7 linked regions of the Oryzias latipes genome follow. The protein of the gene in region 6 binds, or shares a complex with, the protein of the main gene of each other region. Links are inferred from orthologs where the notes say so. Each region holds a gene or a part of one and is shown on either strand. Other genes may lie near its edges.

What was found.
Region 1: snrnp40 (region 6) and lsm8 share a complex: the UniProt entries of both Homo sapiens proteins name them as parts of the U4/U6-U5 tri-snRNP complex. The link is inferred for Oryzias latipes from reciprocal best matches to the Homo sapiens genes SNRNP40 and LSM8.
Region 2: snrnp40 (region 6) and prpf31 share a complex: the UniProt entries of both Homo sapiens proteins name them as parts of the U4/U6-U5 tri-snRNP complex. The link is inferred for Oryzias latipes from reciprocal best matches to the Homo sapiens genes SNRNP40 and PRPF31.
Region 3: snrnp40 (region 6) and lsm3 share a complex: the UniProt entries of both Homo sapiens proteins name them as parts of the U4/U6-U5 tri-snRNP complex. The link is inferred for Oryzias latipes from reciprocal best matches to the Homo sapiens genes SNRNP40 and LSM3.
Region 4: snrnp40 (region 6) and snrpe share a complex: the UniProt entries of both Homo sapiens proteins name them as parts of the U4/U6-U5 tri-snRNP complex. The link is inferred for Oryzias latipes from reciprocal best matches to the Homo sapiens genes SNRNP40 and SNRPE.
Region 5: snrnp40 (region 6) and snrpd3 share a complex: the UniProt entries of both Homo sapiens proteins name them as parts of the U4/U6-U5 tri-snRNP complex. The link is inferred for Oryzias latipes from reciprocal best matches to the Homo sapiens genes SNRNP40 and SNRPD3.
Region 7: snrnp40 (region 6) and snrpf share a complex: the UniProt entries of both Homo sapiens proteins name them as parts of the U4/U6-U5 tri-snRNP complex. The link is inferred for Oryzias latipes from reciprocal best matches to the Homo sapiens genes SNRNP40 and SNRPF.

What each region holds. Positions count from the first base shown.
Region 1 is NC_019881.2:23,243,759-23,247,857, forward strand, and holds lsm8 (LSM8 homolog, U6 small nuclear RNA associated), read right to left. Parts: upstream 2,801-4,099; 5' UTR 2,599-2,800; coding exon 2,568-2,598; intron 1,515-2,567; coding exon 1,474-1,514; intron 1,385-1,473; coding exon 1,257-1,384; intron 539-1,256; coding exon 448-538; 3' UTR 101-447; downstream 1-100. UniProt on the Homo sapiens protein: Plays a role in pre-mRNA splicing as component of the U4/U6-U5 tri-snRNP complex that is involved in spliceosome assembly, and as component of the precatalytic spliceosome (spliceosome B complex).
Region 2 is NC_019874.2:19,364,284-19,368,400, forward strand, and holds the start of prpf31 (U4/U6 small nuclear ribonucleoprotein Prp31), read right to left. Parts: upstream 2,801-4,117; 5' UTR 2,628-2,800; intron 2,359-2,627; coding exon 2,146-2,358; intron 2,066-2,145; coding exon 2,005-2,065; intron 1,915-2,004; coding exon 1,831-1,914; intron 1,737-1,830; coding exon 1,639-1,736; intron 1,442-1,638; coding exon 1,335-1,441; intron 1,202-1,334; coding exon 1,032-1,201; intron 937-1,031; coding exon 779-936; intron 682-778; coding exon 592-681; intron 517-591; coding exon 389-516; intron 1-388. UniProt on the Homo sapiens protein: Involved in pre-mRNA splicing as component of the spliceosome. Required for the assembly of the U4/U5/U6 tri-snRNP complex, one of the building blocks of the spliceosome.
Region 3 is NC_019863.2:18,333,455-18,337,719, reverse strand, and holds the start of lsm3 (U6 snRNA-associated Sm-like protein LSm3), read right to left. Parts: upstream 2,801-4,265; 5' UTR 2,718-2,800; coding exon 2,697-2,717; intron 1-2,696. UniProt on the Homo sapiens protein: Plays a role in pre-mRNA splicing as component of the U4/U6-U5 tri-snRNP complex that is involved in spliceosome assembly, and as component of the precatalytic spliceosome (spliceosome B complex).
Region 4 is NC_019863.2:23,629,254-23,633,482, forward strand, and holds the start of snrpe (small nuclear ribonucleoprotein E), read right to left. Parts: upstream 2,801-4,229; 5' UTR 2,632-2,800; coding exon 2,578-2,631; intron 1,393-2,577; coding exon 1,366-1,392; intron 1,284-1,365; coding exon 1,221-1,283; intron 530-1,220; coding exon 451-529; intron 171-450; coding exon 115-170; 3' UTR 1-114. UniProt on the Homo sapiens protein: Plays a role in pre-mRNA splicing as a core component of the spliceosomal U1, U2, U4 and U5 small nuclear ribonucleoproteins (snRNPs), the building blocks of the spliceosome.
Region 5 is NC_019870.2:16,128,909-16,132,984, reverse strand, and holds the start of snrpd3 (small nuclear ribonucleoprotein Sm D3), read left to right. Parts: upstream 1-1,276; 5' UTR 1,277-1,406; intron 1,407-2,193; 5' UTR 2,194-2,214; coding exon 2,215-2,340; intron 2,341-3,792; coding exon 3,793-3,985; intron 3,986-4,076. UniProt on the Homo sapiens protein: Plays a role in pre-mRNA splicing as a core component of the spliceosomal U1, U2, U4 and U5 small nuclear ribonucleoproteins (snRNPs), the building blocks of the spliceosome.
Region 6 is NC_019869.2:21,982,921-21,987,191, forward strand, and holds the start of snrnp40 (U5 small nuclear ribonucleoprotein 40 kDa protein), read right to left. Parts: upstream 2,801-4,271; 5' UTR 2,675-2,800; coding exon 2,564-2,674; intron 1,314-2,563; coding exon 1,184-1,313; intron 1,106-1,183; coding exon 1,012-1,105; intron 761-1,011; coding exon 595-760; intron 481-594; coding exon 358-480; intron 1-357. UniProt on the Homo sapiens protein: Required for pre-mRNA splicing as component of the activated spliceosome. Component of the U5 small nuclear ribonucleoprotein (snRNP) complex and the U4/U6-U5 tri-snRNP complex, building blocks of the spliceosome.
Region 7 is NC_019881.2:20,375,325-20,379,373, reverse strand, and holds the start of snrpf (small nuclear ribonucleoprotein F), read left to right. Parts: upstream 1-1,249; 5' UTR 1,250-1,384; coding exon 1,385-1,387; intron 1,388-1,983; coding exon 1,984-2,109; intron 2,110-4,045; coding exon 4,046-4,049. UniProt on the Homo sapiens protein: Plays a role in pre-mRNA splicing as a core component of the spliceosomal U1, U2, U4 and U5 small nuclear ribonucleoproteins (snRNPs), the building blocks of the spliceosome.

The sequences.
Region 1 (4,099 bases), on a different chromosome or scaffold from region 6:
TTCAAGTTTCCATGATCACAAATAAAGCAAAGCAAATATCTAAATAAAATAAACGTCTGTTTAAAAAAAATAGCTAATAAAGTTTTCAGAACAGAAGCTCTAAAAGGAAAACATTTTCACACATTTATTTGTTCTTCCCTGAAAGACGAGAACATGGAGCTGAAGAAAAGCAGAACTTTGTGCTTTAAAACAAACTCAAGTCTTTTTTTGAGTCTTGGTTTCACCTTAAAGCAAAATGAAAAGAATCAAATCCAACGTTATTCAACTTTTCTCTGTTGGAGATGAAGACCGTGACTCAAACCTCCTTTATAAAAATACAAACGTGGAAACATCAGAACAGTCTGTTGGAGGAGGAAGACTCTGATCACCCTCAGATCTTCATCTCCACGGCTCCCGCTGCAGCAGACCCCTCCCCCTGAGTCCACTGTTGCCGTGGAGACGGTGAGCTCAGTGAACCACAGAGTTGAGCGGCTCGGCTCGGATGTTCCCCAAGTCCAGCGTGGAGTCGGTCTCTTCGTCGATCTCACCGATCACCGCTCTGATGAGGAAAAAAAGAATCGCCACGCCGTCAGAATGACCTTTAGAGCCCGCTGGGGGGCTAAAGTCCCACTCCCACCAGCTTCTGATCTATTTTCAGATGGTTCGCAGTGCAGAGTGAGCCCATCTTCATTTCCCATCATCCATGTGTTTACACTCTCTCCTGCTAGCTTACAGCCCCTCACCCCCCCATCTTAACATTAATGGAACAACAAAAACAGCAGCAACATCAGGTCCACCCGTCCAGTTCTGATCCAGATTCCAGCTCAGACCAGGAGAACAGACGTTCATGGATCTGTTGGTCTGCAGGTGGATGATCAGAAAGGGGCGGGGCAGGGAGACTGTGGCCCCGCCCAGAGTATTTTCTACGCTATAAATGTAATTTTTTCCCATCAGCATTTTTTTCGTCTGCTCCTGATTCACAACAATTTGATTAAAGAAAAACTCAGAAATTGATCTCAATGATCTGAATCTATGACCTCCATCATCAGAAAACCTCTACAAGAAGAAGAGCATTTTCATCAGAGCGGCTCTTTGCCCCTGGAGGGGGAGGATTCTGTCGACCTGTGGACTCGAACCCACGGGCTGAAGGTAGACGCTCTACTCTGCTGCTGAGCTGCTTTTACCTGCTGTTTTCAGATCAAATGTCCTTTCAACTGTCTTCAACTGTTTCCTGTTTCTCTGTGTTCTGATGGGAGGACCGGCGGTCTCAGACTCACACGTTGTCTCCTCTGACGATGTAGAGTCCCAGCACCACCTGCTCCACGCCCTGACTGGAGCTGAAGACGCGCTCGTGACTCTCATCCAGGATGAGGTTGATGGTCTGATCGAAGCCTTTCAGAGTTCCCTGAAGAGAATCAGAAATGAGAAAATGAGGCTGGGCTCCAACCGAAAAGAGCGGATCCAGCCGAGGACAGGAGGAGCATTTGAACTCACCACGATCATCCTGCCGTCTGAAGTGACGATGGCCACCGTACCTGAGCCAGCATCGGTCAAAGAAACTCATCCAGAACACATCATCACCTCACAGCTTCTAGGAAGCTCAAAAATCTCTACAGCAGCTTTTCCTCTGAGTTCAGAGCGAAGTGTCGGATCCAAAGTCCCCTGGACTCCAGATACCAGCAGAGAAAAAGTTTAAGAAAAAACTGAGCCCAGGTGACCGAAGCCCCGCCCCGACTTCTGGTTGGTGGAAAAGACAACATGCTGTACAGATTCAGCCTCAAAGAACAAAAACCTTCACAGCTGCTTTTCTGTTGCTGAGAATAAACTGCATCCACTGCTGCCTAATTGAAATCAGAAACACAATTTTTATTGGAGTTGATTAAACTGAGTCAGTGTGATGTTACTTTTTACTGTTTTTTTGTGGTTTGCTTTTCAGCAAAACAAACTTCTCTGCAGCTGATTTAAATACGAATTTAATTATGGGATGTAGGAGAAATTAGCACGAATCTGTAAGATAAGATTCAGTTTCACTGAAGACACGCGGGGAAACCAGCAGCATGTTTTCAAAAAGATGAACTCTGGGAAAATAAAAGCGGTTTAGAAGTAGAATTCCTGATATTCATCATGAAGTTCTCAGAATGTTTTGGTTCCTGTGAGGAGATCCTCCTCCAGAACTAAAGAGATTCATGCAAATCTCTTTAATCTCTAGGAATAATCTAAGGAAATATAAAAGAGCATTTCTCCTAATTATTTATTCTTTACTTCTACTGACAAACCCGGTTCTCCAATGATCGATGAATAATAATCAGGAAACGATAAGAAAAATAATCTGGTTTAAACTTTCTGCTGAAAATAACCCAAAAGGCTACAAATTCTTATTTTTGCACGATACCCGAACAAAAGCACAAAATAAACAGTGTTTGAAATCTAAAGATGAATTTAGTTAAGCCTACTAAATAGACATTTAAATTACACTCTTTATATTTAACAAAACACGAGTTTTCGTTAGCGCGCTAAGCTAGCAGTTAGCCCTCCATTCATTTAAACGGCGGTTAGCCTGTTAGCCGCTAGCAGCAGCGGAAGGATACGGTTGATGTAGCTCTCCAGCGCGGTGGACATGTTTGTCCGGAGCTCCTTTTTTATTTATCCAGCTGGCGGGAAGACTTGCGTTTGAAACAGGCTAAGAGAACCCGCAAAAACACCGCACAGGCTAACGGCGGCAGCTAACAACAGCCAGGCTCAGCTAATCTCACACAGATTCATAGAGCTGAGGCGTCAAAGCGCGCATGCGCATGTCCTCCTTCTTCTTCTGTGTTTTCTTTTGGCGGTTAGCAAACACCCTGCTGGCGCATTAGTGTCACCACCTGGGACGGAGTTTGGAGAAATTGTTTTTGAGCTGTTCTTTACTTTTAATTTCCATCCTCACACATTCACACATTATTAAAATCTGCTTTAAAAAGTGTTTGTTTAAAGAACTTAATTAAACAAATAATCATACAATTAAATGAAATGACAGCTCCAATCTGAACTTTTCAGGCTGTTTTTCTTAAAATTTATTTTTGTAACAAATACTTCACACATTCCAGCATCATCAGAACCAATCATTAGATGTGGTCATTATCCGGTTTCACGTTTCTCTTAACGGTTTAGGATCCAAAACTAATTCTAGCCTAGTTTTCAGTTTCTCCTTAAAGACCCACTCTGATGTGATGTTTTTAACATGTTCTTGTAGCATTTTTCTCGTAATGGAGAGCATATATAAAATTATTTAAGATAAAACTGCGTTTCTAAGTACTTCTTTATTAAAATCGTAAATCAGTAGCAAAAAAAATGCCATTTGAAAAAAACTCCCAGTTGTTACGCAGCAACAAAGATGGGCGGGGCCACAGCCTTCCTGCTCCGCCCCTTTCTGATCATCCACCAGATCCATGAACGTCGTCGTTCTCCTGGTCTGAACTGGAATCTGGATCAGACCTGGATGGATGGCAAGCTCTGATACTGCTTGCTGTACGGTTACACTAGTAAAGTTAAGTTGGGGTTGTGAGGGGCTGTAAGCTAGTGGGAGAGAGCGTAAACAAAGGGATGATGGGATATAAATGGAGACGTATCTCCATTTTAACATTCAGACCAGGCCGGTTGAAGAACCTCACCTGATCATCTGTTCTGCGTCCTGGACGACCTCGGATGATCAAGAGAGAAATTAAGATTTCCTGAAGAAGATTTTGACTCAGAGATTTTTACAAATGTAAAACTTTAGTTCAGTTTAATGTGAAACATTATATACATGACAGGAAACCCAAACAGACACGTTTGAATGCATGTGCTAATGTTAGACCACATGTGGAGTCACAGCCTCCCGTCTCACTTTATTGTTGCTCAGTATTAAAAAAACAGAAGGTGGGGTGGGAGGTGGGGGGTGAATGAAGGCTGACGGGACTGGGACAAACACCAGGAACCTCATGCTACCAAAGTATTAAATTTGTACAAAAATACTTTACAACATCCTTGTTCCTTTAAAGAAAACAAACATACAGTTTGGTTGGTGAAGCTACATGAAAACGACTCTGACCCACTATTTAAATGGCAGTGCTGTGCACGTGCGTGTGTGCGTGAGTGAGTG
Region 2 (4,117 bases), on a different chromosome or scaffold from region 6:
TCTTTCACTAAAACATTACATCTGTGATAAATTCAACATTTGTCACAATTATGCAGATTAATTGATTGTACTGCAGTTTAAGATATTACAAAATACTTCAAAGTAAACTAATTGGACAAAAATGAACTGAGTAGGGCTGTCCAAATAATTGTATTTCTCCATTTAGTTAGTTCTTTGTTAGACAAAAGTATTTCTATATCAAAGATGTTTAAAACAACAATTACATTGCAGCATATTTTTAAAAGAACTCTGGCAAAAGAGCAGTTTTTGAGAATTATAAAATTCCTTAAATAGTTTTGAAGCCATTGACTATATTTATAATACAAACAGAGGTTTTGATGAATTTACAGGCAATTCTATCAAATACTAATAACCATAAGTGACTGACCTCCTTCCTCCTCTCTTCTTTCTCTGTCCGTCCAGCGGGGCTGGCAGTGGTTTGACCTGCTTCACTGGTGGAGGTTCCTGCCATTTATCAAACTTTCTCTCTATTTCTTCTTTTAGGTCATAGCCAACCTGCATTACAAAGGGAGTTGAATAACAGAGACAGAAATTATATTTCTGAATGTTCCTTTAATTTGAGATGTTTACCTTTCCATCTGGACTCTCGTGGAAACTGTCTACTCGAGAAGCCAGAGTGCATTTCGCGGCCACCAGACGAGCTGCCTTCCTCCTAAGGTCCTGAGGGGGGAGAACAAAAGGGGAAAGGAGATAACTAAGGCAAACAAACATTAGATGTGGAAAAGGTACTTGTTATTCTTGAATATGGTGTACTGACAGGAGGCAATGACTGCACAACATCACAGTGGTAGATGTAGCCCGTGTGAGGAAGCAGCGATGTGCTACTGAAGCCTGACAGAGTTTTCCTTTGGGCTCCCAGCAGCATCAAGTTGCAGGCTGGCATCTTTGAGAGGTTTGTTAGGCCTCCAGCAATGCCTTCAGCCAAACAGGGAAAAAAATTCAAAAGTAAGAAAAAAAAATGTATGGGCATAAAAAAACTTGATATTTTCTAGATAGTTTCACTTCCTCACCCATGATCTTTGCTGCAGTCGATGCTCCCACAATGATTGACAGGTTTGGAGCTATAAAGGACATTCTGGACTCTACATATTCATATATCCTGTGTTTTGACTGGTTGAGCTCCAGAGCCATGTCACAAGCCTCCTCAAGCTGCTTCAGCTCATCTTCCGTTAGCAATGACCTTAAGAGGAAAACAATAAAATATATAAAGGGAGTGTCTATGTAAATAAAATAAACAACAGACATAATAATGGAAATGTTAAAAAAAAAAGTTTATTGTAATAGGACACAAGTACCAACATTCTTAAACTTACCCCTGTGTAGTTGATGCAGTGACACTGACGACCATAATGGTGGCATTGGTTAGAATTTGCTGCAGGGTTTCATTGTTTTTACATTTCTCCAGGTTGTTTCCCAATTCCTTTATACGAAGCACACATTTACAACAAAAAAAGGGGGAAGATTTAGAGGTTAGATGCAAAAAGAAAAAAACAAACCTATGCAGAATAATGGAAACCATTCAGCAAATCTTTTCTTTTAATAGAAGAAAAACAAAATCAAAAATTTGATATCCGGTAACTTCAACGTCTCCAAACTTATCTTTTAAGATCAACAAACCTTGACTGTGCGAATGTAATCTAAAGAATCTGGAACCAAAGACTCAAGCTCTGGAAATCTCTTGGAGTATTTGTCCCTTGTAAACTTGTGAATGATGTCTGAAAAGACAGGAGAAACACAGACCTCACACTTTCAGTTGAAAGAATCCAATTTCTTCATTAGGTTTTGTCGCACAATAAAAGTCCAACTCACTAAGCTCATTGTCAATTTCAACTGTAAGATTGTTGGCTGCAACAATCAGCCTGTATTCTGGGTCAGCCTCAACTGGTCCTGAAACTGAAAGAAAATACAGGTAAACAGGAGAAAAAGAAATGGAAGTAAATCAGTAACATTTTCTGTTAAAATGCACATTTTTTCAACACTCACCATCTGAATTCTTGCGCTGTTTTCCAATATATCCAGATATTTTTTCAATTATATCTGAAAACTGAAAACAAGCAGTTAAAAGGGACTGCCTTCAGGTAGTGAAAAAAAGGAACTCTTTATGAGAGTCAGCTAAACAAAGACCTGTTTGCTATTGCGGAGCTTGGCGATAGACGTAATGCTGTCAGTTTTACTGTAGTCCACCTCCATCTCTTCGGGGATATCTTCCAGTCTTTCTGTCCTCCCTGAAGCCCCCTCTCCATCACTCCCTCCTTCCTCCCCCTCTGGGTACAGCCCATCTTCCCCCTCATCTCCAGCTTCCTCCAGGTCAGCCAGAAGCTCGTCAGCCAATGACATCTGCAATCAGAGTAAAATTCATGATCCATCTTCTAACAATGCATCTTTCAGCTTAAACGAGAGTAAAAGTGTGGGCAGTTGTTAAATTTGTGTTTATTGCAATTATTTTCAAAAGGAAGTAGATCTAACGAAAGTCTATCAGTGTTATTTTTTATAAACATCCCGTTGAAAAAAACAAAAACTGATATCAGTCTGCTATTCTGTGTTAGCTAGCTAAAGTTAGCAAACGTTCACCAAACGTCATTCAACACTGAAAAATAGTAACTTACGTCGCACTTTCAAAATGAAGTAAAACAAAACAAAAATATATTTATATTTTTTTAAAAGTCACTTTAGACAGGAAGGGTTCTAATAGAAGCCAATATAGGTAATGCTACTTGTGCGGCTTCTTGCTCCTGTTTACAACATAAAGCTCACGATCCGGGTGGTTTGTCGCAGAATAAATACGTCACGATTTCCGCATGGGATTATGGGTAAGTATCCCCTTTCCTTAAGAGATGAGAAAATAACATACGGGCTTCTTTCTAAAAATGAATGTTCGGTCTTTATGAGTTTACTTGGTTGCTTTAATTACCTTCTCTTAAAAAATGTGTAGTAGGTCGCAACTAAATACATATTTATTCGAATAAGGAGTTACATTTCAGGCCACAAAATAAAAACACAGGTTTTTTTCTAGTATTCCGAAAATGACTTTACTATAACTCTTCTTTTATTTGTAGTTCTTAAAATATTGTTTTAAAAATATTTTTCTATTCTTAATTTATTTTATATTATTTATTAGACCCTTAAAAGCTACCTGTACATAATAGGAAGAGAAGTTAAAAAAACAACAACAAATAACTAAATAAATGACTAGTAAGTTTCTGTGACAAACTGTTAAAAAAAACGTATTCAAAAGTGATGGGACAAAGTAAGAACTTAAAAACTTTACATTTTATATTTAAATTGCGTTTTAAAATATTTACACACAAAATATAATACATACATGGCAGCAAAGTACCAGTCTTGCATTCAGGAAACTAGAGTTTGGTTAACTTTTTTTTTTTTTTTTTTTTACAACAATTTTAATAAATTATGATACTTCACCATAGCACACAAAAACTTTATAGAAATAAGACAATTACCTTTACAATCAAAATTTCATTCACAAAACAATGGGCCACAAATTCTTTATCAATGGACGTTTATGCTTTGACCAATTGTGGTTTCCCACTTTATTAGACTTATATTTATTAACTGTTCTATTTTATACATTTTATTCTGTAACTGACTTCTGCTTTCAGTAGAACATATTTAAATATTACTTCTAATTGACACAATATAGGGACTCAGAAAGGACCCTGCCCTTGCAACAAATTGGTGAGGTATTTGAACGAATGAACAATGACTGGGACATGACCCGTATTGGATAAGAGGCTCACATTTTGTAGTTTTTATTGTACATCCTCCCCTTTGAAACCCAGTTTTTAAACAATACAATTTTAAACCAACATTTAAACAGACTAAACAAATGGACTAGTTGGACCTCAGCTGCATGATTGATGGCTATTAGTAGAAAATGAAATAAATTAACAAATACACAAGCAAATGGTCTTATTTACTGATGAGCAACTGTTCTGTCATGCTAAGCTACATAAACGGTCATTAAACAAGATAAAGAATGACAAGACTGCTAATAATATAAACATGAAAATAAGGAAACATTACAAGACATAATTCAGTACAGTACAGATTGGCAAGTATTAACAAGTAAAATTAT
Region 3 (4,265 bases), on a different chromosome or scaffold from region 6:
ACTACTTTTTTTCCCATCTCAACACAATTTGACAACACAGAAATCAACTTGTGATTCACAGTTTTTAATTCAGCAATCAAAATAAAATGTTGAAACATCCAACCTACATTTAAGACACCAAAAACGACTGTTTTGTGACATTTATATATGTTTAATATAAAAGCATTACTAATCTCATGGGTTTCAGCAAAACAAGTGAAGGCAGATTACATGTATTGGCGTTTGGGTAACCTGTGTGAATGTGTTTGAACTGTTAAATTAAGAGTATAGCATTAAAAATAAAAATAAAAGACAAAAAAAAAACATTTTGGTGACTAAAAATTCTAAACCTTGTGATTAGAATGAAAGTCAGTTTGCTTACTAATCTTTTTTTTTTTTTTTTTTTTTTCTAACTTGTTCTGTCCAACTTCTGAGCAAACAGATTAGAGCTGAAGGCTTTTTGTGTTGGACAGGTTTTACTATCACAAAAAGAGGTTATATAGCTTCAAGAAACTAGAGTGTAGATTTGTATAAACCCCTTTTTGTCGTATTATTTTTTATTTATTTGTTACATTTAGTGTGTGTGGGGAGGGAGAGGGGAAGAATGTGAGGGGAGGGTGGAAGAGAGTAAAAGGAAGAAAGGTGAAAAGGTGGGGGATACAAGCACTGATTTGACTAAGTTATTAATTTAAGCTGTAACAATTATACCAGATCTGCTGGAAAGACGAATGTTACATCAAAGGTCAAAATCTGACACTAAGATGAGCGGAAAAAAAACTGTCCATCAATACACTGTAGGTAAGGAGGAGGGATGAAGCAGACAGGGAGCAGTGTGGCAGTGTGCACGTGCACGTGGGGGTGGAGATACATGCATGCTGCCGACGTGAACCGTGTGTTCATAAAGGGAGCCAGATCCTACCCAGCCAGACCAGCCAGACCAGGAGAGGGGAGGAGAGCCCCCCAGGCCAGAAGCCCCCCCAGCATCCGGACCCAGGCAGCCCGGGAGGGGAGGAGGAGGGGACCGCCCACCCCACCAGCCAGGCACAGAGAGGGCCCCCCTACAGGGGCCCCCCCAATGCCCAGAGGCACAAGCGAACCCAGTGTCCGGCCCCCAGGCCACAAGACAGGAGCGCTTAGCCGTACCAGGCGGCAGCCATGGGGGCCACCGGGCGCCGGACACCGAGACAAAGGCCAGGGACGAAGCCAGGGCCCCGGAACCCATGAGCCGGCCACCACCCGACCAGCGCCCCGTCCCCGCAAGCCAGCCCAGGCACGCGACCCTAGCAACCCAGGGATCGCCACGCACCCGCAGCCACAGCCACCCCCCTAAAACCCGACGCACTACAACCCCCCCCCCGCCATAATATCTGACCCCCCCTCCCCAACCCTCTCAGTGCCCTCCCCTCTCTGTGATTGGGAGGGAAAGCCCCAGAGGGTCCCAGCGAGCCAGCCCCCAGGTCGGTCCTACCCATGCACTCACACACACATACTCACAATCATCTGGTTACCCTCCCTACCCCCGCCGCCAAGCAGTAACCCCCCCCCCCCCCCCCCCCCCCCAGCCGGCCAACCCCCAGCGCCGCATGCCCGACCCCTCCCGCAGCCGACAGGACACCCATAAGCCTGGCCGCCCTGAGAGGACCAGGCGGGTGAAGACCGGCCGCCCCCCCCCCCCGACCCCACCCATGTATGGAGGTGTGGGAGTGCTGTGTGTGTGCTGCAGGTAAAATAGGAGGTCACCAGTGTGGGGGGCTCCACCGCTGCCAAGCCGCAAAGCCCCCCACTCCGGAGTCCCTCTGTGAGTGGTGTGTATTTGCTGTGTGTGTGCTGCTAGCATGCAGTGTGTGTGTCTACAGAGGAAGTTAAAATTGTGGGGGGGCCAGCGAAAGGTGAGCACGGATGTTTCACCGTGCCCCCCTCCACCAGACCCTCTCCACAAGGCCCTAGATGAATCAGAGTGTCTAATATGCAAGTAAAAAGCGGGGAGGAGGGCGGGTGCCAACGAGAACCCAGAGAGGGGCATCCCCAGTGAGCCCCGCCAGCATACCCCTCCCATCCAGATCCCGGGGCCCTATGTGCCTGTGTGCAATATTTGTTTGGGTGAGAGCGGGGAGGAGCGGGCGGATGGGCACAACCGGGGGAGAAGGCTCCCCCGAGCGACCGGCCCCCCAGCCGGCCGCGGTAGGCGCCCCCCCCCCTCCCAGAGCGGCCGGCAGCCAGAAACGCCAAGCGTTTCAGAGAGTAGAAACCTCAAATGTAAAGTTTCAGTCCTCGAGGGCAGGTGTCCTAGTCTGCCTGCTGTTGATTAGCAAAACACACCTGAGGTAACCAGAATCAGAAGAAGGCCGTTTAATGAACACAGCAGAATGCATGCCCTCGACGGCTGGAGCTACAGCTGTTGTTTTCCCCACACATTTTACACAAACTTTCCTTCCTGTATAAACTATTTAGCTGCCTGGTTAGCACTAAAGCAATGAACTGTGTTTCAAACCAAACATTTGCGTTCAATTGAAACACAGGAACACCAAGGCTAATAATTCGGCTAACTCGGTTAGCCGCTTCCACGGCCCCAAACAGGTCAAAAACGTTCCTGTAATAACCTTAAAGCACTTTAAAAATAATGCAGCGTGCAGCGCAGTCTGCACTTTTAGAAGCAAAGTGGGCTTCTGTTCGTTCGTTGTAAGGTTAAACATATAATTAGCGAAAGAACCGCTAACCTGCTCAGCTTCGTCCGCCATACTGTTCGAGCATGCGCGCGTCGATTCCGGTACGCAGGTTGCCAGGTCCGGTGAAATTAAGATTTCAAACGGCAACACACACGTGCGTTTCGAATTATCCCTCGATTTCCAGTTCAACAAAGTTGAATTTTATACAAATAATTAGTTTACAATATATATCTATGCGTACTTTGAGAATGTGAAATGTTTATTATTAAAACTTATGGTATCAACATCCATCCTTAAAAGACTAAATTTAAAGTATGTGTAAATCCATACATAGTCCTTACCTAAAATTTAAATACAACACAAACATCTCCTTGTTGCATCCCTGCCACTTTTAAATTGAAACAACTGAAAAGACTAAACTATAAAGAAAAGAAATTCACCTTTCTCTCGACGCGTTGCGTGTATGTTCAAACCTGGCAACGTTATCCAGTACCGTCCTTTAGCGTTTTCCAGAGCTTTCTGTCCTCACAGGACACTGTCGTGTCATCCGCGCAGAGCAGCGAGAAGGTAAATTAATTCATAAATATCTGTTCATTTTGAGGTATTTGTCCTGTCTACACTAATATTCCAGAGCGTTTTGAGTGGTAGTAAAGCTGTTATTGGGAATTCAGTGTCTAACGGGTCTGTTTAGAAATATTCCGTATGCGAAATGTTAATGTAAACGAGAAATGAAATGTAAATAGTTACACATAATGAAGCTTTCCGTTAGTGAGAAAACCGTTAAAATTCTTTTAAGAGAGAATATATTCCTAAAATGTAATCTGCAGTTTATTCAAATATTTATTTTTAATGATTACACTAAATAATTAATCGATTTATTAATTGAAACTAACAGACCAAAAAAGGCTATTTTATGTTCATTGATTACTCTTTTCAAAGTCTTGCATTTAAAGATAAGAAATCGTTTTAATAACAGTCTAAAATTATAATAGGTGGACTTAAAAAGCAGAAAAACGAAATAAATTGCTTTTCAATTATTATTTTTTTTATTAAAAATAACAATTTCTTGTATACAGGATACCAACCAAGTGTTGGAAAATAAAAAGCAAAATGCTATTTAAGTAAAGATAAAATGATGCAGCGGTTGTGATTTATTGCGTCATTATTTTATTTTGGGGAAAAAACTATATTTATTGAACATCACTAGTTTAGACTGGTTAATGTAACTAAATGGGTTGCAGACGTTCTGTTTGTGATGTCATACACAGCCTCTGGTCCTGTGAGGCTGCTATTCTCCGCGTTGTGTTTGTAGGGTTACAGGTGTGCGCCTCCTCTCTTCTCAGGACGATCCAGTTCTTCATACTGGATTTGTCAGTGGGAGGGGAGGCAGATCAGAGCAGTGGTACTGCCCATTCCACCCTCAGCTACATCATGGCTTTGTGATGGAAGAGATCCTGCAACAAGCTCAGACAGCACCGCAAACAGGCTCCACGCTCAGTTCACACTGTTTCCTGTTTATACTGCTCTTCACTGAGAATCAGTGAGAATTTCAGGTGGACTAACACTGTTTTTCTGCTTGCTCAGCAGCTCAGGGCAAATGGGTAATTGGTGAGAAGATGG
Region 4 (4,229 bases), on a different chromosome or scaffold from region 6:
GAAAAAAACAAAGCCATTTATTCTCAAAGGTTGTAGAGAAACTCACATTTATGCATAAAATCGTAAGCAGTTAACAGAAAAAAAAGACAGGATCTGCAGTCGTCACTGGTGTCACTAGGTAGAGACACTCTGCAGCAAGGTGATGTTGTCGCCCTTTAACATAACCCGACCTGTGAAACAAGGAAAGAAATTTATCTTGACATTTTAAAAACTGACATTCCTGAGTGTATAACAAATAAATACTGACTGGAAAAATATTTCTATGTTTTCCTCAAACAAATATTTTGTTACAGCAGTTCTAGAAACAAAAGCTAACAGTACATGTTAATAAATACAAAGAATATTCAAATTTTTCATTGTAAAATAAATAAATAAAGCTGTTCTAATAACTGCTAAGATCAAAAAATAGTAACTGAAATTTAACAAATTAAACAAGCTAAAGAGTCTTACCCAGTGGCTTTCTGTTCTTGGTCTTCATGTGGACCTCCTCAGCATCATCTAGAACCAGGTTCATGTACTCATCAAAGCCCTGGAAAATAAAATAAAAAGGAAATAATCAATTAACTACTTTCATAACTGAAGCTGTTTGGATTCATTTAAATTCAGGCTCTCAAGGTTTTTCCCCCCCAAGAAAACGGCACAGGTTGTTTGTTTTTATTTCGGCTAAAAACAGCATAATCATAGTTAAAAGATCACCGAGAATGTTCTGAAAATAGATTAAAGTGTCAAGAGTGTAGGACCGGCAATTTCAATTGGTCTCCTAATTCATGCTTAGTTTGTCATTATGCTGTTCTCATTGATCATTTACCTACTGTATTGTGAGTCTGAACCAGTGTGTGTTTTTTTTGTTGCCGTTTTCAAATACATTTTTAAATCAGCTGCAGAGTTCTGCTCTACTGGTAAGAAAGGTGCCCGCTGCAAAAGCAGCTAAAACAGAGCCCCAAAATAGTCGTAGAAAAAATTTCTGCAAAACAGTTTTAAGTTGATTATTGTGGATCTAACACCAGCCATTAAGAACTTTTACCAAGCTCCAATAAAAAAAATAACTAAAATGCTAGGTCAGTGGTTCTCAAACTTTCTCTTGTTCCCCCTTTTGGAGCGGAGAAGGAAAACCTGGAATCGTCGATCGTTTTTACAGTCTATACCAGTTTTAAAGTAACTGTGGCACACATTTGGAAAGTTAACAAACACTGTGAAAGTAAAATAAAGAGAAATCTTACAATGATGCAGCCTTCTATCCGCATGTTCACCTGCTCATAAAGCCACACCTGGATTCGTGAGCGCTGCAAAGCAAAGATGACACGAATCAGTATTTCAGTCACCACCGAGACAAAAGGTGAACCTGCAAGAGCCTTCAATACTCACGTTCTGAAGGTATCTGAAAATGAGGTTCTGATGAACAGAGTCAAGGAAATGACATGTCTAAACCGTTTCAATGTTACAGAAGATATTTCAAATAACATGAACTAGTCATTTCAATTTCAGTAGAGTGACACAAACTGTTTTGCACTTTAACCGGAGAGCTGAGATCCTGTTAAATACCAGTGAATGTCATACATTTCAATGTAAGCCAGTGAAAAAGGACTTCACAAACCAATTACATGACCGAAATGATGAAATAAAGCTATGGATGACGCAGAATTTGCTCGAAAGTCCCACTCAGATCATTTTGATCTATTTTTGAAGTATTATCGGCGGTCTTTTAACGTTAGTTATGCCTTTTACCAGCTTACAGAAATTCTGCAATTGTTCTAGAGTTTTACAGTTTACTATTTAACTTCTGCTGATGTATCCACGTTATAACGTAAACTGTAGGGCAACCATGTCAAAACAACTGAAGACACGCTTAAAAATGGATTTAAAACGGGTTCTGGCATTAGATTTTCTCTTATTTATTGACTTTGTTAGGGGTTTTTTTACGAGTCAAATTTTAATGGTATTCTTAATTTCTTTAACATCTTTTTTATTTTTTTATAGATGACATGTCACTTCATAATCAAGAAAAATAAGAAAACAGGTCTCACACACTCACAGGGACAAACTTGAGTTAAGTTAAAAACCAAATAAAAAACTACAAAATATGACCAATTGTTACAACAAATCAAAAGAACATTTAATTATCAGACCAAAGTAGTGCATTTAACTAATATTATTAGTTTAAGTCGTTAAGTGCAACATCTCGATTGTTGACTTCTTTTTTCACTAAAAGAAAACTCTGCCAAAGGTAAACGTGTCATTGTTTTCTTCTTTCCAATTAAACAAACGTATTTTTGTAAAATGTATAATAGTAAATTGATAACCCATCATATTGCTATGTACGTTTAGAAAATGCTAAAAATGTTTGTTTCAAATTCAATTTCTTTCGAAGTACAACGTCGTGCTTAAATTTGATCGATAAACAGAAAAATACGTGCTTCAATACTGAAATTAAAAAAAGTCAGTAAATATGCATTCCAATGTATTTAGAAAGTCATGTAGTACCTAGAAAAAAAAGGAATACAGTTTACCGATGAGCAAACACGAGAAATAACCGATTAGCATCGCTGCTAACAAATGCTAACAGCAAAGAAAGGATACAATGGGCTGCACCATAACCTTCTGCACCTTCTGTCCTTGTCCTCGGTAAGCCATTCTCTTCACACGCAAAAAAGACACGCAAGAAGTATTTCGTTAAAGAAATATTGCCTTTTACAATTGAATGATTTCAACGTTCAGCTCACGATGCCAAGTTGCCTTAATGGCGGGTTTCTTTCCGCATCCGGTTCCTGCACTGAAAGGTTTCCCTTCACCGAACAAGCGCCACCTACAGGCAGGATGTCAATACTGCACAATTTGATATTTGGTCAAAAATTACGTTCAGTGTGAAATCCTTCAAATATGCAGACTAATTATGACTTATAAAAAGTATGAAAACACATCTGGTACCAATTAAAAGGCTAAATTTAATAATTAAGTTGTTTTTGAGTCACCATATTTTTTGTCAACGTCTGTTTCAGTACATATTTATTTCTTAATCCTGAAGGGAAAAATACAAAGGTTTTGCTTCGACTTTTTTCTTGTACATTTTCAGTAATCGTTTATTTTTGCTTGGATTAATTTCAGTGATTAACACAAGTACCAATAATATTTGAACAGCTTTCATATAGCAGAAAAGAAGGTTTAAATATTGATACATCAACTAGTTTGGATATAGCGTCATTTACTTCATAGATGTTCAATTGTTGGATGTATATAGTCTAATTTATCATTTAGATTTTTATTTTTTTATTTTCCTATTACACATAATATTAACAAGCATACAGATATGTAATTACTGTAGTTGTTTTTGCAACACAAATTCAATAAGTGAAAATTGTTGATAATTTTTGTAATTTTTCCATAATTGTTCAAACTTTTTATTATTATTATTTTCTTACAAGTAATTTTGTTTTCAATATTAGAGTTTAATTTTGTAAACTATTTCCTAAACATTTATCTTGACCAGGTTCTACTGTCACAGCAGTGACCTATTTTATCCAAAAGAGGGCAGCAGAGAAAAACAAAAACATAAGAAACAACTCGAGCCCAAGATGAACATTAGTAAAAGGTTTCACTTCACTTTCCTTATAAATAAACTTAAAGTTCTAATCTGAGTTCTACAATAAACATTGTTAAAAAGTGCAGTCGATTTAAAGAAGTTGTCTATAAAAGTATTTAGTCAAGAAGGTGAGAGGTACAAATGATTCTTCTTGTTCAGTAGTGTTCTTTCTTCAAAAAGGTTTAGAATTTATCGCATAACTTTTGTTTTTGATTAAATGTGAAATATATTTTCACCTGCAGATGCAGACCTATGAATTTAGCAGGAACATGAGCTCCATTGAGGAGTGTTTTTTCCCCACCTAAGATTTTTGTGAGCTAAATTAAGAATATAAAACATAAAAACATGTATGTGACTTTCTAATTACATGTGTGTTAAATTAAATTAAATTAAACCCCACTCTCTCTCACACACCTAAGTGTGCGAAATTTGTTTCCGCATTTGACCCATCCTGGGGGAGCGGTGAGCTGCAGACACAGCTGCACTCGGGAACCATTTTGGTGGATTTAACCCCCCCAATCCAACCCCTTAATGCTGAGTGTCCAGCAGTCTTTGGTATGACTCAGCCTGGGTTTGAACCCATGACCTTCCAGTCTCAGGGCAGACACCCTAACTCTGAGCTGGTTAGAGAGAGATTATGCAGATGATTTTA
Region 5 (4,076 bases), on a different chromosome or scaffold from region 6:
TCTGAGTACAATCTATAGGTGTGCACTTTCCCCTACAAAGTGTTTACCTCTAAGTAAATCCTTTTGCTTGCTTGATCAGCAATTGGATAATTGCCTGGCAACAAAAGCTGACAACCCAGATCAACATCTAAGTGACATGATTCAAAGGCATCAGTGTAAACAGGCCTGTTAGCATCCACCCAAAACAAGTGCTTGTTTGATCTCTGCAAATGTCACTGCTCATGGCTGGACTGGAACTACGTTCAGAGTCAGGTTAGCATGCATTAAACGCCTGAAACCCTCATGGACACGTAAAGTAGATACACATGACCACACGCTGCACAGGTACAGGTGTTTACAGAGTAGCCTGTCTGCTGACGCCAGTCAATGACCCTGTTGCAATGGAAATCAAATGATGGTTCATTTGGTGATGTCTTTTATTATCCCATTATGCTTTGTCTTTCCTCATTAGAAACCTCTTCCAGCGTGAGAAAGCCCCGCATTAAGCAATGTTTATGCGTCTCACTGAAGTGGTAAAAAAGACTAGTCCACATAAATAAACACGCAAGGGTATGTATATGATACGTAAAGTCTGTTCATTCAAAAACTATGTAGAGTAAATGTTTATAGCTCTCTGTGGTCGATGAAAAAAATCCATTTGAATTGATTGAGTCGTTTCATTTTCATAATCTCTTCTTGCTGGGATGTTTTGACAAGCATATGTGCCAGCTATACACGTGTTCGGGATTCAAATCTTTCACATAAAACAAATAAGGAAAAGAGAAAAAACATAGTGAGGAGGATTATGGAAAAAAAACATGCACCACTGCAAGGAATCAATAAAATATTTTTACAAATATCTATCCAGTGTTCCATTATAGTTGATTTTTTCCAATGAGTAATCATCAAATTAAATTCATGTTAATCTAATTCAGGACAAATAAACAAGTCATTTTTTATTGTGTACATTTTTAATCTGTTAACGTTTCATGATTTCTATTTTTGTTTGAAAGTCCAATGTCCTATAATGATTGGTATTCCTGGACCTCTCTGAGGCCTTTTGATGAAAATTAGTTTTTATTTACTATTACTACTACTTCCAATACTACTAAAAAAGAATAATAATAGTACAAAAAATAATAACACTTATTATTATTATTGTTGTTGTTGTTTCTCCTTAACCATCTTTCTGGTAACTGGCTGACTCAAGTGAGTCTACATTCTGTTTGACCTAACACACCTGGTTTAGGTAATCAGAATCAACTACATGTCCCATAATGCACGGCGAAAAGCGCCACAGGAAACAAACGCTTTGTTGGTGCATTGTGGGTAAGCGGAAAAAAGGCTCAAACGCCAAGCTCAACGACTAGCCCACGTTGCTGAGCCGCTAAAAAGAACAACAATTCAAGAATTCAAAGGGAGTTGAAGTAAGACTTTAAACCCTAGCTACTAAAGCTAGCAAGTATTATATTGTGGTTGGTATTTAGCTGTGAATGTGATTCAGAATTATCGCTTTTTGTCTACATTGCCTCCCATTTGCTAAGTTTCGAATATGTCCATCGCTCCATCCATGCCTGATATTTAGCTTGTGTCTAAAATAATTTGCACGTTTGAGTCCCAACAATGTTGGGTGTGAAGCATTAACGTTAAATATATTGTGGTGGTTTACTTCCCACAGTTTTTAATTAATGTTTTGTTTCGCTTGAGGCCAGTAGTTGGTGGCTAGTTAGCTAACGTGGCTAGCTAAGCTAGCCATTAGCGTTACTACGTTTTAAAAGTAATCCCGAACATTTACCTGATTAAACTGTGTAATCCAAAACTGAAGAGTTTTCTGCAGCACTTGATTTCTCTACGTAGAAATAATACCGTCTTGATAAACAGTACAAGAAATAAATCACTAACGAGGTAGCTTAGCTAATGATAATGGAAACATTGTTATACTTAAGTGCCTTTTTTGTACGTTTTTTTTTGTGGGTGTAAATTACCTTATTTACAGCACAAAACAAGTCTTAAGTATGTTCTAACAGTAAATATTACTTCCAAGCCAGACACATGCAAACATAATAATCATAAAATTGGATGAATGAATTGCATGTTGTAGACTTTCAGTAGCCTTCTGTAAACAAAGACAATACCGTACGTCAGGTTTTGTGATAATACTGTATGTTTCAGTGCCCTTTACCGTATGTTTTGTCTTTTTTTTTAATTTAATAGCCTAGAAAGACCGTTTCCAAAATGTCCATTGGCGTACCAATCAAGGTCCTGCATGAAGCAGAGGGACACATTGTGACCTGTGAAACCAACACTGGAGAGGTTTACAGGGGCAAACTGATCGAGGCTGAAGACAACATGAACTGCCAGGTTTGTATGGAGTAACGTCCCCCCCCCAAAAAAAAAAAGCATGCCGTAAATTTCTATTTAGAGTTCAACTCACTGTACCACACTTGAGAAGAACATTTTAAATGTGTAAAGAACACAAGAATGTTTTTTTAATGGACATTTTATTGTTGGCTGCCCCCCCCCCCTTTTATTTCACATACTTTTTGGAAACAAAAATGCCAAAGGTATTTTAATGCAGTTTATTGCACCAACTCTTATTTAGACTTGCACATTTGTTTTTTTTGCTTTCACAGGAATAAGTCTAGAATCTACCAATTATAACAAGCAGGTGATGTAGAACTATTTGAGTAGGTTTGTTGAGAATGTAGTATTTTAGTAAAACAATTGCGGTGAGACAAACTCATGTTATACTTTCTTTCTTTCTTTTTTTTTTTTAAAAAACAGTTGTTCAACATGTTTGTAGCGAAAGACAAATCGGTTACTCCTCTTCGAAGAAAAATCTCTCCCGGTTTCTTTGTCCCTCAAAATCTCAGCCAACCACACGTGTGTAACGTATGATTGATTGATGTAGTGACTTAATTACTCAATGAGATCAATGGTGCTTTTACAGTCAACAAAACATACTCCCTTTTACTAATATGCATCAGGTCAGTGACCTGTAGGGAAAAACAAAAACCATAAATGATTTATCATTACCGTTGGAAGTAAATAGAAACACAGCACTAAGAAACCAAACGGCCCTGTGTGGAAAAAGGAAATTATGTTGGATTATTTTAAAGTTTTGGGACAGGTTGCCTTTATGACCTTTGTTTTTTTGTTGTTTTTTTTGGGTCTCTAGTTTTGGTTGCACATCTGTAACAAACAAATCTGGAATAACAATTTTATTTTATTTTGTAAATTTAAGTTGTGTTCTTTCTATTAACTGACCCAATTCACCCCCCCCCCCTAAAAAAATCTGTATAGTTATCTGGTCATATATGCACATTTGTCCTTGAAATATTTAAAGCCATTTTTCTTAAAGTATTGAGTACTGTAACTAAATATATTTCCCAAACATCCTGTCAATGCTGATAGTCTTTTCAAGCTTCATTAGTGCAGTAAAAGTTTAATAGACTCCAAATCTGTTTATTTCATTTAAAAGCAGAAATTTTGGTGGATAAAGCTCAGTGTGTCTTAAAAGTACTCTAAAGATAAGTGTGAAGGCTTTAACAAAACGCTAAATATTCTAAAACGTATATTCTGTTAATAATTGTAGATTTCTTATTAATCAAATGACAAATCAAAAAGGTTGTTAGAAATTATTTTAAGGGATTAAATGAAGTATCTACAAATGTGTTTTCAAATAGAGAACTGCATTGCCAAGTTTAACAGATAACTTAAAATGTTAACCTGCATTCCATTGAACACTGTAAACGTGTATCAAGCCATTTTACGAATCTAAGACCGGAACCATTTATTTCTATGTCCCAACAGATGTCCAACATCACAGTAACCTATCGTGACGGGCGGGTTGCCCAGCTGGAACAAGTGTACATTCGTGGCAGCAAGATCCGCTTTCTGATCTTACCAGACATGTTAAAGAACGCTCCAATGTTAAAGAGTATGAAGAACAAGAACCAGGGTTCTGGAGCAGGAAGAGGCAAAGCGGCCATTCTGAAAGCACAAGGTGAGTGGTTCCTAACCAATGCTGATAAATGGTGTGTCCACTTTTCCTTATTCTTGGTACACCCTGCTTCCTGAATGCTGTTTTTTTTTTT
Region 6 (4,271 bases):
TGAAACCGAAATTTTTTTTTTCACATGTTAGTCTTTATCTAAGTAGAATCAGATTATTTGGTGCATTTAAATGAAGGCAAACACATGATAAAACGTTGATTTAAGCTTTATGGCAGACTAATAAAATGTGTTATTTAAAACGGATTGAAAACAACTAAATCACTGATTTCTTTTTTCTTTCAAAATGTCAGAAAGTTTTTACCTTAAACACTGAGTTTTTATAAAATGTCAAACTTTTTTCTTGCCATCTACAGTAGAGCCACGTAGCAGCTGAGATTTCAGACTTCCTGTTAATCTTACAAAACAAAACCAAGGACACTCTGCTGGTTGTTGTTTTTTTTAGAACAATCCAAATACCTTGATGTCATTGTCGATGCCTCCAGACAGGATTTGGTCGCTGGTGTCATTAAACGTCACGGCCAAAACTTGGTAGGTGTTCTGGAAGGTGTGAATTGCCGCCTTTTTACGGATGTCCCACAACTGCAGTGACGATTAACAAAAATACAATAAAGCAACATTTAAAAACTTTGAATGGGACCTCAACAGTTGAAGCATTCAGAATAAATAACTGCACCTAAAATAAAAATGTCACACCTTTATCGTCCCATCATCGCTGCCGGTGCAGACCAGTTGTGGCCCCCGGCGAGCTGGGTAGCAGGTGTTAACAAAGGAAGTGTGACCTTTCAGGCGCTTAATCCTCTCCCCTGTTTCACTGTCCCAAATGCCCACGGTCTTGTCTGTGCTTGCCGAAAATAACAAGCTGGAGGCACAAAAATGATCCAGTCAAATTTTATGGAAAGGTTATTTAAGAAATGTAGATAGTTCCAAGTCCTAAAATTTACAGATGAACATTTTTTTTGTTCCATAAAGTTCCTTAGTTTTTGAAATCAAACTAAGACTAAGAAACAATGAGAATATGAGCTTTACTTTCACTGTAAACATAACCTAAAACAAGAAAAATGTCAATTTAAAGGTGAAGTTTAAAGATAAAATCTACAGCTTTCTTCCTACCTGCCATCTGTGTTGTAATGCAGCTCCATCACAGCTCCACTGTGGCCCTTCAGGGTGGCGTAATTTTCACACTCCCCAAAAACGTTCCACAGAACTGAGGTAAAGGAAGTAAGTGAGGAACAAAGCAACAGAAGAAGGCCGGGAGAACGGCAGCTTGCCTCTTTTTGCTTACATATGAGTCGGTCGAAGCCAGAAGACGCCAGCGTGGCTCCATTTGGATGAAATTTGCAGCAGTACACCTCGCCCTCGTGGCCCGACATCAGCATGATGGGAGCTTGCAGGCTGGAGGTCCGAGGAGGACCCTGGAGGAGAAAGGTCAGTTTAATTTACTTTCTGTTTTTTTCTTCCAGATTTAGTCCAAGTGAAATCTAAAAAGAAAACAGGCATGTGATAAAAGACAGATAAATAAAAGTGCGTTTGGGCTTAATGTGCCACAGAACGCTTCAGAGTAAAGTCCACAAAGTTTAATGCAAATCTGCAGCAGACCAGTGAGGAAATGGATCATTTGTAAAGGATCAAATTGATCATGTGACACAAAGGATCTTGCCACCCTATGGTGGCACACTTTCCATGCAGGGGCTTGTGGTGCAGAGGCAGAGCGGTCCACCTGATCACAAATATCGCAGGTTAGGTTCCACAAATGGGTGGGCAAGGCGGGAACCTAACCTGCGATATTTGTGATCAGGTGGACCGCTCTGCCTCTGCACCCTATGGTGGCACACTTTCCATGCAGGGGCTTGTGGTGCAGAGGCAGAGCGGTCCACCTGATCATGAATATCGCAGGTTAGGTTCCCGCCTTGCCCACCCATGTGTGGAAATGTCCTTGGGCAGGACACTGAACCCCACATTGCTTCTGGTGGTTATAGTTTGGCGCCAGTAAGAGAGCGAAACCGCCATCAGTGTGTGAATGTGTGTGTGCATGGGTGACTGTGAATGTGACTGTTGCAGGTGATATGTCATGCAGATTTTTGCAACATCAAAAGATGATTGCTAAAATGAAACCCCAGTGTTTAAAAGCTATTTATTTTTTACAATAGAAAAAAAAGATTTAGTATCTATCCTGTTAAATATCCTATAGTTTTGTCTCAATAATCAAAATATCTACTTACAGAAAAACATCTACAAACTGGAAAAGGTTTAAATACACAAAACTCATGCTTAATAAAAAAAATAACATTTTTTAATTTTCTATCATAACATTAGCCTAGGATTTGTAACCTGTTCACGGTTCACCCCGGAAACACCCATAACTGGGAAAGGTTCCTTTACCATCAGTTTGTTGATAACAACGGGATTTCGAATATAATACGTATTTTAAAGAAGCAACATTACATCCAAAAATTAAATATCCTAGCGAAAACTCGTGTTGTTATTCGTTGTCATGTGTTCTCTACGTCAAGAAATAATAGGTGCACCACAAAAAATGTCGTGTTTGAGTAAATTTTAGATTACATCATTTAAAGCATGCATAATACAAATGCGGGTCAACACCCGTGTGTATATATTTTCTCTAATTTGAGTTTTTTTGTGTGAACGTTGATTCTTTTCGTACCGTAGCCACGAGTTGCTGGGACTGTGCCGCCGCCACCAGCTCGTTCCGGGCTCGCTTCACAGCGGTGGGAATTACCGCCATGTCTCCCGCTCTTTTCTTTGGTTCAATCATCCCGAAATAATTGCAAATAATCGACAAAAATAAGTTTGTTTGTGACTACGGTTTACCGAATGACTATTTGCGCCTTCATGGGAAACGAGAAAAGCGTAGCACCAACGAAGAAATCAGGATGAAGTGTTTCCGGTGAGTATGAGCTGTGTGATTGGTTTAAACATCCATCTCCTGCTGTGATTGGCTGATGAAGACGTTGTCAGCGACAATGCACCGGAAGTACAACAATCTGAGTTCAGCTAACCACACGAAAGGTAATATTTTCATCCTTTTTTCAAGACTTAAGATACTTTTTGCGTGATTTTCCTTATCGTTCTACCACGACAAACGCCTATACTGTTCATGTCTGAGCTTTTGTCTTTGAACTGACGGTACAAACCGTAAGAGGACGAAATTATAAGCTAACCAAATTCATTGCTGACTTGTCTTGTTGTCAACTTAGATTTTTTGTTCGCTCGATTATTAAAAAACAACAACTTTGAGCTAATTTTTACATAAATAAAATTAGTAATTATATTTCTTTGGTACCGGGAAGTTAATGCTTTATTGCGACAGGTTGGCTTCATCGTAGTTTAAAATGACACGAATGACAATTTTCATTTTCAACCACATATTTGTACAAATAAATATCCCAAAAGGCACAAGGTCATTCTTTATTTGCAAGAAGTGAACAGCACAGCAGAGGTTAAAAATTTACCGAACTCTTTCTGTCAACCACATTACCTTTGAAATTAATTCATTTTCTTTTATGACTTTCGTTTGGTGAATTGGATGAAAGAAGATTGCTGTTTCATTTCCTCTCCCAAATTATGTAGAAATCTAAGAGAGGCAGTAAGTTGTCTTAAAGGGAAGAGTTTGGTCGGAAACCACGAAGATAAAGGGATTGCAAGTTTTCACCTCAAGGTCTCTGCTCTCTGAATTGTCTGGGCATAAACACTGATGGCAAATCTATCCATTTTGTAAACCCGTTTTGTCCCTTTCGGGGTCATGGGGCTGTCAGAGCCTTACCCGGCCACTCGCATGTTTTTGGATGGTGGGAGGAAGCCGGATCTCCTGGAGAAAACCCACGCATGCACAGATTTAGAGTAAAGCGCTAACCACTTTGTCACAGTGCAGCCCTGACCGCAGATCTGTACAAGGCAATGTATGCCACCTTAGTGCTGACTGATTGAGGAAACATCCAGGGGTTTTCTCTGAAAACTCACTTTACTGTTATCATCTCTAGTTACATAAAAAACCTGGTCTCCAGTTTGTATACCAGCTTCAGCTTGTACCAGACAATGCAACTACTTGGTTTTGGGAAACAGTACTGGTATAAAGTTGGCACATACCGATTCTAAACAGGTACTTATGACTGTGGCAGAGCACCTCCTCACTTGTGGGTACCAAAATCTCAAAACTAGAGTAGTTTGAGCAAAAAAAATCTAGGATGAGCATAAGAGATTTGACATTTGTGTGGCGAGCTCAGCTCAAATTAAGGGAGTGATAAACAGGCTGTAAGATTTTGAATAGGAGAAAACTCACTAAAATAGAATTTTTACTTTCTCTGCTCCACTTGAGTGTACACTTTTTTTTAAAGAAATTCACTTGACAATCT
Region 7 (4,049 bases), on a different chromosome or scaffold from region 6:
AGGAGAAAGCACCCACGGAGGGTGAGAGGGGCGTTTTTTTAAATTTTATATATATATATATATAGATATATAGGGAGCTGGTTTAGCTCGTGCTGGTTTGCGGCGCCTTCCGTCCGTGAAACCAGGGTTCGACTCCGGGCTGCTCCCTGTTCCCTTCTCTACTTCTGTGCCGGTCCCAAGCCCGGTTGCTTTGAGAAGGTTGCGTCAGGAAGGGCATCCGGCGTAAAACATTGCCAAGTTTACCATGCGACTCGTTCGCTGTGGCGACCCCTGATGGGAAAAGCCAAAAGGGAAACCAACCCTATCTATCTATCTATCTATCTATCTATCTATCTATCTATCTATCTATCTATCTATCTATCTATCTATCTATCTATCTATCTATCTATCTATCTATCTATCTATCTATCTATCTATCTATCTATCTATCTATCTATCTATCTATCTATCTATCTATCTATCTATCTATCTATCTATCTATCTATCTATCTATCTATCTATCTATCTATCTATCTATCTATCTATCTATCTATCTATCTATCTATCTATCTATCTATCTATCTATCTTCTGAAGATGAGACCCACCAACTCACACATTGATTCTCGCACTGTTTTCCCAACAATCTATATGTCATAAACACTTCTCAGCTTACTTACTTAGCCATTGCCTCCTTGGTAACCGCCTCGCACCATGATTCCTCTGTAGCAAACGTGAAATCTACCTGGCGTTGATACAGAGTGTGAGTGCCTGTATGGTGAGATGTCATCCACAGTTTTGGCATCTTCTCCAGCTCCAGGCTCAAATGAAACATTTACAAAACTAAAATCATTTTCTTACATTAAAGCTCGGTAATGCAAGCCTTTCAAATAAACAGCAGAATGTGAGAGTTCGTCAGCACATGTTGTCAGCAGCCTGGAGCTGATGACAACAATTCTATAATTCCATTGGGTTTTATATTATCTGATTATAAATCATTTTTAATTTCACTTATTTATTTATTTTTTGACATTTGGTCTTGTCTCATTGTTATAAAATAGTTTATTTATGTTTTTTTTCATAGTTTGTTTATTTTTTGTTGTTTACTAATTGTGTGAATGATGTTGTGTCATTTTGTAAACTGATTTTATTTATGATTATTTTATTATGACTTTATAAAGCAGATGCACTGGAATGTGATCAGAATATAGTCCGAGTCTTTTTGTTGCACTAATACATCCAGAACGCCAGGGGGCGACGTGAGGCGCGGCGAAAAGCTCGATGCCACTTCCGTTTCCTGTCGGCGGCAAAGCGTGCTTCTAGTTTGTGAAGCTAAAACGTTTTTGTGACGAAGACATAATAAACTTCTAATTTACTGTTAATCGGGTCTAAACTTAATCGAGCAAAATGGTGAGTAACTCTTCAAATATGTAATTTCACACGGCCTTTGGGTTTATTGAAGTTTGTTAAAACAAAGAATTTAAGAGAGTTAGCTCGTTTATGCTAGCCATGTTAGCATCCCATTCATAACTGGTTTACACAGCTCGTAGGGGAAAACAAACTTACACTAAAAACAAAACTTTAAAAATGAAACGGTTAGATATTCAAGTGAGCTTTTACTAAAGTGTTGTTTGTTTTGGGTAACGTGTTGCCGTATCAGAAAATGAACGTCCGTCGGAACAACACAAAACTATGACGTTCCTCTGCAGGTAGTAGTGTGGTCGAACATTATACAACAGATTAATAGAAGTATATAGGTCATTTGAATAATTAAACTGCTCCAAAACCGAATTTATGTACTGTTTCCCAATTATTCAATTTATTTTTTTAATGCAGTCCAGATTGGTTCTTCAGTCGCTCCTGTTGATGATTGGTGGTGTAAAGAAATCAGACGTGGAGACTGTCCATAACATGAATAACCCGCATACTTAAAGTTCTAAATATCTCATAGGGAAAAGCGTCATGTTTGCAGACTTGATGTAAGGTTTCAATCCCCTCTGCCGCAGAGTTTGCCCCTCAACCCAAAGCCTTTCCTGAACGGCCTGACAGGGAAACCAGTGATGGTGAAGCTGAAGTGGGGAATGGAGTACAAAGGCTACCTGGTGTCTGTGGACGGATACATGAACATGCAGGTAAAAGCAACTCTAGCTTCATTCACAACTATATCAGGGTTTATTCTGGGATTTTAAAATGCAGCTGCAACACAGAGGCAAACTACTCAAAAGTAAATGCAATTATTTATTCAATCTATTTTAAATTAGTCAAGAGTGTTTTTATCGTACTCAGTTTGTTATTATTATACATGTTTCTAAATGACCAACAGTGTTTTCAGTCTTCTATTCTGAGCATTAACTTAGACGACTGTTGGTGGAAAACCAATTAGCAGCTTTTCTTGTACCAGTTTACAATTTTTTTCAAAAATTCTAACTATCCTATCATATAACATTTTAATAAAAAAAAGTCGTTTAAAAAAAGGTCAAATGGCTCCTGTCGCATAGTGACAGCCTCTGCAAAGATGACGGAGGCTTTTTTGAGTTTGCTAAACGATCCTGTTCAGCAATTATTGATCAGGAACTTTCCGCTTCATCCAAGAGTCAAAAACAAACTCAATACAGTTTCTAAATGAAAACACTTCTGGTTTTTCACAATAAGATTATTCTGGGCACAAATAACAAAACATTTCTCTGAACCAATGAAGTCATTCAAACCAAATCATAAATGTTGTCTCACATTGTTATTTAAACAGTAAATAAGTCAAAACAACTCTAAACACTTATTTTTTTTAAGTATTTATCTGTGATGCTCATTTTTTGATCAGGGTTATCCGTAGTAATCACAACTAAAAATGTTCCAAATTTAGCTTTTTTGTCCTTCACTGAGCAATTAAGTCTGTAAGTCAGTCGCTGCAGCGGCCTGATACTGCATGAAAGTTGGCTAGCATTTCTAAATCTGGAACAACTTTTCTTACCAAAACATATCAAACCATTTTGTTCTATTGTTTAGATAGCAGCACATGTAGAATAAAAGAAATCTGTTTAAAAAATTGAGATTTCAGACCCTTAAAGCTCTCACACCAAACCGGTGTTGCTTCTCCATATTTTACATAATTCTTTGTATATTTAGATTTCATGAAATTTGACCTTTGCTAAGAAACTCTTGTTGTTTAGATGAAGGTTGTTGTTTAACTTTGTCATCTTTTATTATGAGATTTTAAAAGAAATACATTTGTTGTGTTTTACTCAGAGGAAATTACCATAAACATTTTACTTGTTTAGTTTGTAGAAAAAAAGTGATAAACGGCAGGAAAAGTACATGATTGTTGCAGAAATCCTCAGATGGAATGGGTTTTTACCAAACTGTGACACGCCACCATAACAGTAACATCTTTTCTTACGCTTTTCTAAGCTCTTCAGAAAAAAGTCTTATATCTGGACTTGTTTTTAAAATGTTTAATTTCCTGAAATTCCAAAGTAGATTCTTTGTCGAGTGAATTTTCTCAGGTTAAATATTAGTTAAAAAATGACAGAAAAATATAAGTATTTAGATGAAAACTTGGGTGCTGGAATTAAAGGTTAATCTTTTAACATTTGTAGAAAAGAACAGAAAATTTGCATTTGGTTATTTGGGAAACAGCAAAGAAATCCATAAGATCTTTTTTTTTTTTAATATTCTTGTGGCATCTTTCTCATGATGGAGAACACGTATGAAGAATGAATCAGGAGCAGAAGACAAAATGCCTTTTGATTAAGATCGTATTTGTGACGTTGAAAATATGGTGGGCGGGCAACAAGCTCCCTGCTCCGAGGGAAAGGGGGGCGGGGTTGCTCTGTACCAACAGTTTCGCCACAACAACAAACTGGGTAATCATAATTAGAACCACTGGGAAGGCTTTGACACTAGATCTTAAGATGATCAGAGCTGATCTTTAAACTAAACGTTATGAGTAGTTTACTGTTTAATCCAGCAGAGGGCGCCACAGAATGAACGTAAAATCTAACAAATCTTTAATTTGGTAGAAAAATGAAGAGAAGGTTTGAGGTTTTGACTTTTCTGTATGATGTCTGACAGCTGG